3 linked regions of the Cricetulus griseus genome follow. The protein of the gene in region 3 interacts with the protein of the main gene of each other region in a biochemical or structural test. Links are inferred from orthologs where the notes say so. Each region holds a gene or a part of one and is shown on either strand. Other genes may lie near its edges.

Region 1 (3,646 bases), on a different chromosome or scaffold from region 3:
CTCTTTTGTTCCTCCTTCTTTTCACAGCCTAACGGAACCAGCACTCTATAAATGTCATTTTGTTGACTTTTTCTATTCACAGACACATGCACTAATTCTATATATTCACCCTGGCACTGTGGAGAAAACACTGAAAAAAAGGAGGAACTTTCCCAAATTCTGCAACCTACCTATGGCAGGCTAACCAACAAAGACATGAATAAATAAAGTGTCAAGTTGTGATACAGTCTCTAAAAGAGACTAAAATTAAGGATCTCTGAAGAACCATCCCAAAAGCTGCTGCACAGAAACTTGGTACCTCCCATTGTCAGAAGGAAACCCTTCACACAGGAGTTAACAAAAGATAGAGAAGTGCTCTGAAATTCTGTGTCTTATATAATGGAAAAACAAGCTACTTTAATTATCATAAGCATAGTTTAAATATCTTTAATGATTGACTGTTTTTGTTCTGTCTTTAAAACCTTAAAAAATAATTATATAAAAATAATTATATAAAATAATTATATAAAATAAGGGATGTCTTTTCTTTATACAATGTCTACCTCCATTATCACCTCATCACCATCTGCTCTCCCATTCTTCCTTACTCACTAGTTGGTCTGATGTTTCCCAGAAGTCTTAGCCAACCAAATTCCTGCACCCTCCACAGGCAATTGTCTATCATTTTTCTTTATACAGAACTGTGTACATTAAACAGCTATAATATTTACCAAATTGTTCTTACTCATTAACACACTTGGATTCCTCTATTATATTCCCAGAGACCATGGTCTCTCACTGTTGTACTCTCAGTGCCATGGATAGTATTTGTGATACCTTGAAAACTTCACATACATGGCTACTTTTGGAAAAAAATAAATTTGTTTCATCATGTGTCAATAGACAAAGTCCAGATTTAATTAAAAATACACATCCCTGATTTTGCAATAAGAGAATGCAAATTCAGAGAAATAATATTCATCAGTAAAAATTATTTATACTTACCTCTTTCGACAAGTTCCTGTTGTTCATCTAAATTGCTGTGAAAATAAGAAAGATGAGTTTCTATATTTGTAAGGAACATGGAATTCAGTTGGCATTCAACTTAACTGAACAAACACCATCTTATAAATGTATTGAGTGAAGGGGGAAATAGAGGTAAGGCTAACAGAAGAAGGGTTAGAGGAGAATAGGAGAAGATAGAGAATGAAAGGGATAGAAAAAGGGAGAGGTAAAACAGGAACTTGGGGAGAGTGAAGAAACCAAGGGAGCAAAGAAAGAAATCAAGAGTTGCCTGTAAATTTCAGAAGAGTGAGAAAGAGTTAAATGGATTCTCCCATTTTTCATAAATACTTATCTTCTTGGGCAAAGAAATAAACAAAGTCCCCAGAACTTCCCTCCTTTTGCATTTGCTGTTCCCATATTACTTTCATCTACTGAGGATTAAATGAGAGGGTACACATGCTTTGTGCTGATTATTATCAAAACAAGCCTACAATATCATTAGCAAAGGCAGAGAATATAAGTGCTTACAGTAATACAGTAATTCCATGTTAAGTCTTTGACACCCAACTCAGTCATTAACTGAAGTTCATACTGTCTTCTCTAGTCCATTTCTCGGTTAATGCATTTTGAACAGTTTGTGAAATTATTACAACTACTATTGCCTCCTAATTCAAAATTAATAGTCTCTTACCTGGATCTTTTCTTACGCAGATCATAGATTTTATACAGAACAACAAGCAGGGCTATTGATGTCACAATAATCAGAAACACCAGGAATATAATCAGTGCTTTAGCATTATCTAGAAATGATAAGTGACACACAAGAGATAATCATGTCATATACTTTGGTAGACAATGTGAGTGACCTTCATGAACTAGAATTTTAGTATTTTTTTTCATTTATGGTGAAGACTCAAAGCAAAAATTTTAGAATAAGTTGAAATACATTAAAATCTTGATTTTGCAATGATGGGCTCTGTTATTTCAAAATTCCCAGGGCATTTATATTTAAAGAGACTAATTAGAATATAGATGAGCACTTCCATTTCTTTTCATTAAATACTGTACTTTTGTAGAAAACTATCATTTAGATTTAATTCCCTTTCAGAGAGTCATTTTAAAGGGATCAATGAGGTAATGCAGTTATTACAGCTTTCAGAAAGAAACTCATAGTTTATCATTGAGCACAGTAGTGGGTAGCCTCCTAAGGGATTCATAAAAGCTTCTACCCCACAAAGATAAATCTCTTACATGCTCACTGGGGGATAAAACCAATTAACCAAGAGACAAAATTTACTTCATTTGACAGTGAGGATTAACACTTTCCCTTGCTTGAATTTTCACTAAGAATCAATGTAAATCACAAGCATAGGGAAAGGAGAGCAAAGCAGGGTTGGCAATGTCTTTATCCTGGGTGATGTGCCATCCTTTTCATCCACACAATGGAAATCCAATAAACCCATGCAGTGGCATCAAAGTTTGAGCCCCAGAGCCAGGCTGCTGAGCTTCCAACCTTAGTTCTTACATCCTGAAAGGGAATCCTATTACCTTTGCACCTCAGTTCCTTAATTCCTGAAACGAGGTTAAATGGTGTAGTTACAGTAAATGGTGGGCTGTGTAGAACACAGAGAAAGGTAGCTGTTCATAACCCCTAAACCTTGTGTGTGTGTGTGTGTGTGTGTGTGTGTGTGTGTGTGTGCACGCATACGTGCGCTTTATGGTCTATAATGATGCTCCCTATGTATAAGGTATCTTAGAAATCAGAGTATAATCAGTACACACATCTGTAGCACATATATGGACCAAACACCACAGTCACATTTAAAGGAGCTACCAAAACTACCTGTCTGTAAATAAATACTCTCTAAATTTGTAATGAAGGCAACATCTGCTGAGTGACTAAGTGATCAAATCTATTAATTAAATTTTTATTATACTGTATTTTAATCTGTGTTTACTCAGAGGTTTTTGAAAATTTCAGGTATTTATAAAGTATGTGCAAGCAACTAAGGAGTCAATTGATGGATGCAAAATAGCACAGCTCTGCTCAAGCAAATCCATACACATAGAAGTAGAAAAAAATAGGGCAGGATGACTTACAAGATGTTGATTGATTTTGAGAAACTGCCTCTCCCTCATACTTTCCATTGTAAAAAGAGACCTAAATTTCAGTTGAAAAAGAAAACAATTTAGTTTTCTTCTGTTAGTGTGAATGGCATATTGTAAAATGTACATTATTTCTCATACAATGCTGCCTCTTTTCATTAAAAACTTCTAAGTCAAAGCTGAAACTTTAAGATTATTTCATTGTATCCAGCCTAAAAGATAGAAGAGGGGCTTACCTGTCTTAGGAATGACAGCAATAACAATTGGAAATGGAAGAACACAGTTCAAGAAATAAAATCCAGAGTTAACAATTTCAAGGTAGAGTAAATGACAAAAGGAAAGTTGTCTATTAATATGCTAGTAGGTTCACATTTTATTTTTAAAGTAAATCTGCTGTTTACAAGAGACAGGTGTGGAATGTGCATGGGTAAAAGACATGAACAAATGCCAGTGTGGAAATAACTAGCATAAATGCCTACAACTCACAAAATTTAATACAAATACAGAAAATAAGCTTGATAGGAAAGGACACTGAAGGGGTTGATGAAACAAAACT
Region 2 (4,180 bases), on a different chromosome or scaffold from region 3:
AACCTCCCATTTGATGGCAGTATTTCCCTGGGCCAAGCTGGCCCACTTCCCAATACCTCTCCTCCCAAAGCTATTTTTCTGGTGTCTCAGTTGAACCTATAGGTGGGGCTGAGTGTGAAACTCTTGTTTTTCCACTGGAGGACATGAGTCAGTGAACAGTGAGGTTCCACTTAATCACCACCCCAAAACAAGGTTCTTAAGAATCAGGAGTAAGAAGAACAAGGGAATGATTAATATAAAGCCAGGACAGTGATTTACTCTTGGGTGGGGTGGGGTGGGTGGAGAACCCTGCTGGGAAAGGGAGAGCTAGGGATCTTTTGGAGTTTGATGCTACTGTAGTTCTTCGTCTGAGTGGAGACTGCATTGGCAATGGTTCCTTTATCATTATATTCGCACGTTTTATGTAGTTTTCTAAATATGTATTATAGCTAAAAATTACAAGTAGCTAAAAAAAAACAAGCTGTAAAAAGTTCTTAAGCTGAGAAAAGTATAACCAGATTTATATCATTAAAAAATTACTTGGGCACTAAGCATGGTGGTGCACATCTTTAATCGCTGTGCTTGGACACAAAGGTAGGTGAATCTTTGAGTTTGATGCTAGTTTGGTCTATAGAATGTGTTCCAGGCCAGCTAGGGCTACTTTAGTGAGACCTTATCCAAGAAAATTAGCTGAAGGTGGGACAAGGCTAGAAGCAGAGAACATGGTCAGGAGGTGGCTACCACAATTTGGTGAGAGATTATAATGACCTCTACAAGGGTTAAAATATAGAGATACAGTCTTTTGTTTTGAAAAATACAATAAAAAAATAAGACAGAAGCTAACACTGCCACTCAGATCACTTTTTTCCCCTCTATATCTTCACAAATTGACTCAAGAACAACAGTCAAAATGCAACCACATATCTAAGCAGACATATGGAACTCTACCCTGTGGCAAACCTACTCTGAGGACTTGTGGCAGAAAGAATACATTTTTATGACATCATGACCATATGAAAGTTGAGTTGGCATAATACCTTAGCATCAAAGTTGAGCTGCTTATACACTAGCCTACGGTGATATCTAATCATGATACCCAGTCAGTGAAAACTTCATAGAGTGTTTTCTCATCTAATATCTGGTCCTAGAATGCTAGCTCTGGAAGGCAAAGACATTTTATTCACTACTATATCTTAGGGTGAAAAAACAAAGTTAGTATACAGTAAGTGCTCAATAAATATTAATGAATTATTTCTTTCTTTCTTTTTTTTTCTCAAGATATGGTCCCTCTAAGCTGGATGGGCTAACCTTGAACTCACAGTCCAACTGACCTCAGCCTTAAGTAGCTAGCACTCTAGGCACCTCCATAGTACCTTGTATTTAATTATCATAATTATTTGTGTCTAATCAACACAATAATCCAATGAGAGTAGATAAGACATATATTATATATTATTATCCTCATTTTGTAAGTTAGAAAACAAAGATTTTATTCATTTTTTGCAATTAAAAGTTGAAGGGCTAAGACTCAATATTCTTATAATTCTAAAACACCAACTAGAAGCATTTCAAAGCATAACAGGCTGGAGTGGTGGCACACGCCTTTGATCCCAGAAACCAGGAGGCAGAGGCAGAAGGATCTCTGTGAGTTCAAGGCCAAGTCTGATCCACACAGCAAGTTCCAGGGCAGATAAGCTACACAGTGATACAAACAAAAACCAAGCAAAACAATAAAATCAAAACCATGACATGTCTGTCAGATCCCACACTCTCCAGTGTACCTGACATGGAGCCATATAGCCTGCCCAGCTTTTACTGCATTGACAACTACAGCTCCCCTACAAGGAGACCCATTGTCTTCTGGATAGTCAAGTCCACCTGCTCCCTGGCTACCTTGTTCCTGTGTCCCCTAGTTGTCTCTACTTCCCACTCTACCCAGTCCACTTCTTCTCCAAACAATAGAAGTTAAAGAAACCCAGTTAGGGCAAAAAAAAAAGGAAAATGCTGTTCTAAAAACTTGTCATTAGGCCGAGTGTTGGTGGCGCACGCCTTTAATCCCAGCACTCGGGAGGCAGAGGCAGGTGGATCTCTGTGAGTTCGAGGCCAGCCTGGTCTCCAGAGCAAGTGCCAGGATAGGCTCCAAAGCTACACAGAGAAACCCTGTCTCAAAAAACCAAAAAAAAAAAAAAAAAAAAAAAGAAAGAAAGAAAGAAAGAAAAGAAAAGAAAAGAAAAGAAAAAAGAAAAAAACTTGTCAATAGAAAAGGGAAAATAGAATAAAGTGGCAAATGACAGTTTTGGTGTAATTCAAAAGCCTGTCATCCAAATGATATCCTATAGGGAGTCTAAAAATTCAACACTACACGAGGAGTTCCTCTTAGTCTCTTTCTTTTTGGTATCAATTAAAATGAGTAATTTGAAGCTTAAAACACAACTCAAATGCTTTCTCCAGATGCTCAAAAGGTATTAATATTCATACATCTGTATATACCTTCATAGGACTGATAAACTCAAAAAAACCCACAAACACAACAATAAAACCAGCATACCTGAAAAAAATGCTGAATACACAGATACAACAAAACTCACAGAAGTTATGTTTTTAGGTTGTCTCCCCACGCAACCCCTTGTAGTCCAAGCTCTGATGTTCAATTTGTCCCTACAGCAATTCAGTCTAGGCAGGTTAGACCACAGCAGACCGTTAAACAGTGCATCTAACTCCTCTTTCAAACATCCCAGAACTCACCAGAAATTCATTGGCAAACTCCTCATTATTAATTTTCTTTTTCTGGGCCTCATTCAGTAACCGCTGCAAAATTTCTCTTTGGTCCATGCCGCAGAGCAAAAGTCTGTGAGTGAATTAAGTGAGGGCATGTCAAATGTGTGTCATGGCCAAGACACCACCAAGAAGCCACTGCTGCTGCCTGAGCACAGCACGCTGGAGGCTGTGGTTTACTGACTGCATCACAAGCCCTAGAGGAAATTAGTACGAAACCAACTTCTGTGGTCACACAACAAAGCCATCATCTCCCTCCAGGGCCCTAGCGCCTTCCTTTCTCAACAAAGAAACCTGGCTACAGTTCAAATGTAGCGAACAAGAGGCTAACCAGAACATTAAACTGTGGTCTGCTTAGCTGGGGGACTCTGCCAGCTTTCCACAGTACTCACCTCACCTCTCTTGATGCTTCCCAGACAACAGACAGAAGTACAGCTCTAACATAAGGTGTGTTCAGCCTTTCCACATTCCCCAGGAGAGCAAAGGCCTGGGTGATGAGCACCTGCCGTCCCTCTACAGGGAAGGAGACAGACACTGGAGTTATCTATCTTCTACCTGGACTATTGTCGCCAAAGTCAGAGCAGGCATTTTACTTCAGAACTTGTCAACTGCTTCTGACAGGCAGGCAGTCTCTCTCACGGCTGGGGAAGTACTGGCCCCCCATAGAGGGAAGTGTTGATCTCTGTACCTCTTCAAACCTGCAGTAGCTTTGATCCTTATTTGGGTTCTGAATACAAACATGGAGAGCACTGTTCTATGGAGGAGAAGCACCTGGTAGACAGCACACTATCCTCAGAACGCACTGCTAGTAGACAGTGAAGGAATGAAAACTAAAATTTAATTTGTCGAGTGTAATACAGATTCTAGGTCAGAAAGTCTTGGGAGAAGTGAGTATAGCAGTGCAATCTGGGGTCCTCGCTACTCAGGAGTGTCACCCAACTGGAGGATCACTTGAGTCTGGGAGTTTGAGACACCTGGGCAACAAAATGAGACCTCTCCCTCAAAAACTGAAAGAGAGAGAGAGACACAGAGACAGAGAAAGAGAGAGACAGAGAAGAAAGGAAGAATGAAAGAGAGAGGGAGAGAGAAAGCCTAAAGAAGTGATTCTCATGAAGACATTTTGACATTTTTTGCCCTACAGCCACAGTCTTAGAAAACATCCCATTTCAGGAAGCCATCCCCTACTCATGGCATTTGTGCCTTGATAGGCAGGCTGCTCTAGAGAAAGCTTCCATGCCTCCGTTTGCATAAATTCTCTCTTCAATGGGTACAAATCCACCCAAGATCTAATTCACCCCAAGTGAATATATTATCTTTAAAGGAGGAAGTTCAACAAACAGCATGTTACAAATTAGTCTCAAGTCTGTAAACTGGGAAAGATGTAGTTCGGACTTCCTCAATTTAAGATATTAGCAATTCTTTCTGC
Region 3 (4,139 bases):
CAGGAACAAGCACATTCCTACCCCGGGTGCAAAAGACAGTGGACGACAACAGCGCCTTCAAGCGGCTAGACATAGCAGGGACACCCACCGTTCTCCATGTATTCTGTGATGATGTAGATGGGCTCCTGGGTGACCACTGCGTAAAGCCGGACCAGCCGCTGGTGCTGCAGCTGTTTCATGAGGTTAGCTTCCGCCAGGAAGGCATCGGGGGACATGCTCCCTTGCTTCAGGCTCTTCACTGCCACCTTCGTGTGCCCGTTGTAGTACCCTGGAGGTGGGTTGCGGGTGAGGGAGTTGCAGAGATCCCTGAACTAGTCGCTGCCCTGAAGAGGCCAGTGTCTCACATCTTGGTGACATCTCCTCCTCTCTTTCCAATCAGTTCTGACCTCCACACTCACCCATCCACACTTCCCCAAACTGGCCAGCTCCCAGGCGCTCAACCAACTTCAGTGTCTCCCTGGGAACCTCCCATTCATCCTCCCACCACGGCTTCTGGGGCTTCTGGGTCTGGCAAGGACGGCTCAACTTCGTGCACAGCCCATCAGAGGCATCTGCAATGACAGAGGAGAGGAGTAAGGCGGTCACTGCTGGAGACCTTGGGTGCTCCCTCCAGCCCCTACCTCTCTCCACGTTCGGCACAGGGGAAATAGGCCGGCATGGGAGGGGAGCCTGTCACCCAACGTTAGCCTGCAGGGTGGAGGGTCAGGTACTGCCGATGCTTGGAGGGTCCCTAGGAACGACTTGGGGGGAGATAGGCCGCTAGGGTGGGTACAGGTGAAAACGCTCTGCCATTGCTCACTGGTGTAATGGCGGACCAGCTCGTGCAGGCCGGGAAAAGTGATACGAGGGGAGATGTAGAAGCCACCGTTGTCTAGGTTGCGGATCTTGTAATGTTTCACCACTTCTCCCTGGTTCTGGTCGAAGTCTCTGACCGACAGTGAAAAAGATCCTGAAGAAAGATTGGAGACGGGAGGAAGGAAAAGAGGAGGAGGAGGAGGAAGAGGAGGAGGAGGAGGAGGAGGAGGAGGAGGAGGAGGAGGAGGAGGAGGAGGAGGAGGGAAGTTGAAGAGGAAAAAAAGAGAGGGAGAGAGAGGATTGCCTTCGGTAAATCAGGAGGCCACCACCCCCGCACACCTCCTCACCGGGAGGTGATGGCCCTCAACTCGAAGCCCCGCCCACAAGCAGAGGCCCCGCCCACAGGGTCCTGCCTCTTACCCGCGGTGCTTTCACTTTCCCGGATCAGGAAGGATCCGTGCGTGTTCCCAGGCGCCAAAAGCTGCCGCTCAGCGTCCTTACGGCTCAGATTCTTGAAGAACCAGCTACAAAGAGCAGAAGAAAGACCATTGGCTGTTGGTCGACTCTTTTTTTTTTTTTTTTTTTTTTAAATCTGCAGCCTTGGTTGACCTGGAACTCAAAGATCTGCCTGCCCCTGCCCCTGCCTCCAGAGTGCTGGGATTAAAGGCTTGCCTGGCTTGTTGGTCAATTATCCCTCCATCACTGGCAAACATCCCCCACCCCCAAGACCACGCCCTTCTTTGAGATCCCTAGATGTTCTCCTCCATTCCCACACGGTCCCGTGCTCACGGTTCAGGCTCCAGGCTGTTTGCCTTCGCCACGAAGTTGAAGGGGATGAAGCCTTCTTGGCCGGTGGTCAGGGACTGAGCCTTCCACCACTCACCGCTCCTGCGCCACAGAGAGACCATCAGCATGGCCTACGTAGGCCCTGGAAACCCTCAGAGTTCCCAGTTAGGCCAGGCCACCACTCCCTGGTATGATCATTCTAGTGCTTTCTACCTTATTCCAAAAGCCCTCACCTGAGGCCTGTCAGGGATGTAGGAGGGCTGAGGACGGACGGACAGACAGACAGACAGACAGACAGACAGACAGACACACACACACACACACACACACACACACACACACACACACACACACGGCAAGGTGGGTTAGAAGGATACTCACTGCTCCAGAATTCGGAGCTGTTCACCCTTCTCAAAGCCCAGATCTCCATCATGGGAGGGTTCATAGCTGTGCAGAGCGATAACTAGGTTGTCTGTAAAGACACGAAGAGTCAAGAAGCAGCAGCCCAGGGCTGACGGGAACAATGGAGTTCAAGGGGCACAGGGCAGGATGCAGACAAGGCTGAGGGTAGGTACAGAGGGTATGGACACCAACGGCCAACCATCCACAGGCTTCACACCCTGCTGGATGGAGTCACCTTGCAGCGGGGAGGCTGGTGGGATGGAGCCCTCATAGGTGACCAGTGGGTCCCGAACTTCAGAGCCATTCCGCATGGGCAGCTGTGGAGTAGGAAATGAGGCTTGGGTCATTTTTCTCTGACCCGGCTCCCCTCACCTCTGCTCTTTCCGTTTTTCCAGCCTTCTCTCTGGATTCACCAGCTCTGTGTGCACCTGACCTTAGGAAGGTCCGTTCTGCTCTCTGATGTCTTCCTTACTGTACTCCAGCGGACATGGGTTCTCTATTATTTCCAGTACCTTTCTCTGTGCAACAGCCCTGGCTGTCCTAGAACTCACTCTGTAGACCAGGCTGACCTTGAACTCATAGAGATATACCTGCCTCTGCCTCTCAGGTGCTGGGATTAAAGGCACACACCACCACCACCTGGCTATTTCCAGGACCTTTAGTTATGATTCATTTGCTTTGTTTTTTTTTTCCTCCTGGTCACACAGCCTCCCTTTACCCATTCCGTCTTCCTCTTACCGTGGTCTTGCTGTCCAGTGGAACTATGGGATAATGGCAGTTTTCACACACATCAATGTTCTCCATCCAGTCATCTTCAGGGTTTGAGCTGCAGCCACAGCCCATGATCCCTGAAAGAACGTAGAGAGGCCTGAAGGAGCTCCCCTAAGTCGGTTCCCCCAGCATCAGACATCCTAGAGTATTGCCCTGGAGTTTACAGAACTCCTGAGACTGTCTGCTCTGGGGCTCCCATTGGCCATATAGAAGAGCCAGAGCCAAAATGTGGGATTCTAGATCCTGATTTGGTTCACTCTGAGCCCTCAAGCAACAACTAAGTTCACAGGAGGCCCAGGCCCAAATCGAGTCCCCACCCTCCCACCTGGGGTGGGCAAACCGCCACAGGCACCTTTGTTAGTGTAGTTACCCACTTCCTGCCTCCTCAGGCCTGCTAGTTCCCTACTTTGGAGGGATTACCTGGGAGACATCACACACACTGGGCCAAGCCCCGGGGGAAACCTAAATTTTGATTTCACCCTCCTCCACCAAGGAGGATGCATGTCCCTATAATTTCAAGGCCGCTGCCTAGATACTGAAGCTGAGAGGCTCCTGTTCCTTGGAGTCAACCTTTGACCTCTGCCAGCCCCCAGCACCCCACCCCCACTCACAGCACAGGCTCCTTCAGACTGTTTCTGCTAACATGCTTTTGCTTCTCACCAGCAGAAGGAAACCCTTCAGTCGCTCTGCTGCCTGTAGCAGCTTTTGCTTGCCTGTCTGAGCTGTGGAAACTTTTGTCAAATGAAGTCAAGCAGAACCTCAAAGACGCAGCAAATGAAGTAGAGCTGTTCTAATCAAGTCAGAGTGGGGACTCCCCCTGAAGCCTCTGGAATCCCTGTCTGTGTACCTCCTTCCCTAAAGCTGTTACCACCTCGGAACTGCTTGGAGAGCATTGGTCCTCAGAGAATGATTTACTATGAGCAGGAGATTCAAATCTTTCTTTTTTTTTTAACGGTAAGTCTTACATATGTAGCCATGGCTGAGCTGCAGGCCTGCATCTCACCATGTAGACCAGTGCAGACAAGGCTGGCCTCGAACTTGCAGAGATACGCCTGCCTGTGAGTGCTAGGGATTAATCAAGGTGTACAATATCATGCTTTTGACCACTTTGATATTAAGGAAGACCTACTACATCTTTCAGTCTTTTTTGTTGTTGTTGTTCTGGAGACGGAGTTTCTCTGTGTTACAGCTCTTATTGTCCTGGAACCCACTCTGTTAGACCAGACTGGCCTCGGATTCACAGAGATCCACCTGTCTCTGCCTCCTGAGTGCTGGAATTAAAGGCATGTGCCACCATTGCCCAGCTCAGTCTTTTAATCTATAGTGACACACACACATACACACACACACACACACACACAGCCCCCCCCCCCCGTACCTAAATA

The links.
Region 1: of the proteins of Lck (region 3) and Ptprc, one has a biochemical effect on the other in vitro, tested with the Homo sapiens proteins (5 studies listed by BioGRID and IntAct, with this or other methods). The link is inferred for Cricetulus griseus from reciprocal best matches to the Homo sapiens genes LCK and PTPRC.
Region 2: of the proteins of Lck (region 3) and Ptpn22, one has a biochemical effect on the other in vitro, tested with the Homo sapiens proteins (3 studies listed by IntAct, with this or other methods). The link is inferred for Cricetulus griseus from reciprocal best matches to the Homo sapiens genes LCK and PTPN22.

The regions. Positions count from the first base shown.
Region 1 is NC_048598.1:51,232,732-51,236,377, reverse strand, and holds part of Ptprc (receptor-type tyrosine-protein phosphatase C), read right to left. Parts: intron 3,146-3,646; coding exon 3,085-3,145; intron 1,785-3,084; coding exon 1,676-1,784; intron 1,020-1,675; coding exon 985-1,019; intron 1-984. UniProt on the Homo sapiens protein: Protein tyrosine-protein phosphatase required for T-cell activation through the antigen receptor. Acts as a positive regulator of T-cell coactivation upon binding to DPP4.
Region 2 is NW_023276806.1:53,075,354-53,079,533, forward strand, and holds the start of Ptpn22 (tyrosine-protein phosphatase non-receptor type 22), read right to left. Parts: upstream 2,924-4,180; 5' UTR 2,812-2,923; coding exon 2,725-2,811; intron 1-2,724. UniProt on the Homo sapiens protein: Acts as a negative regulator of T-cell receptor (TCR) signaling by direct dephosphorylation of the Src family kinases LCK and FYN, ITAMs of the TCRz/CD3 complex, as well as ZAP70, VAV, VCP and other key signaling molecules.
Region 3 is NC_048595.1:23,478,243-23,482,381, reverse strand, and holds the start of Lck (tyrosine-protein kinase Lck), read right to left. Parts: upstream 2,833-4,139; 5' UTR 2,827-2,832; coding exon 2,722-2,826; intron 2,301-2,721; coding exon 2,219-2,300; intron 2,054-2,218; coding exon 1,963-2,053; intron 1,684-1,962; coding exon 1,585-1,683; intron 1,320-1,584; coding exon 1,216-1,319; intron 950-1,215; coding exon 800-949; intron 552-799; coding exon 399-551; intron 269-398; coding exon 89-268; intron 1-88. UniProt on the Homo sapiens protein: Non-receptor tyrosine-protein kinase that plays an essential role in the selection and maturation of developing T-cells in the thymus and in the function of mature T-cells. Plays a key role in T-cell antigen receptor (TCR)-linked signal transduction pathways.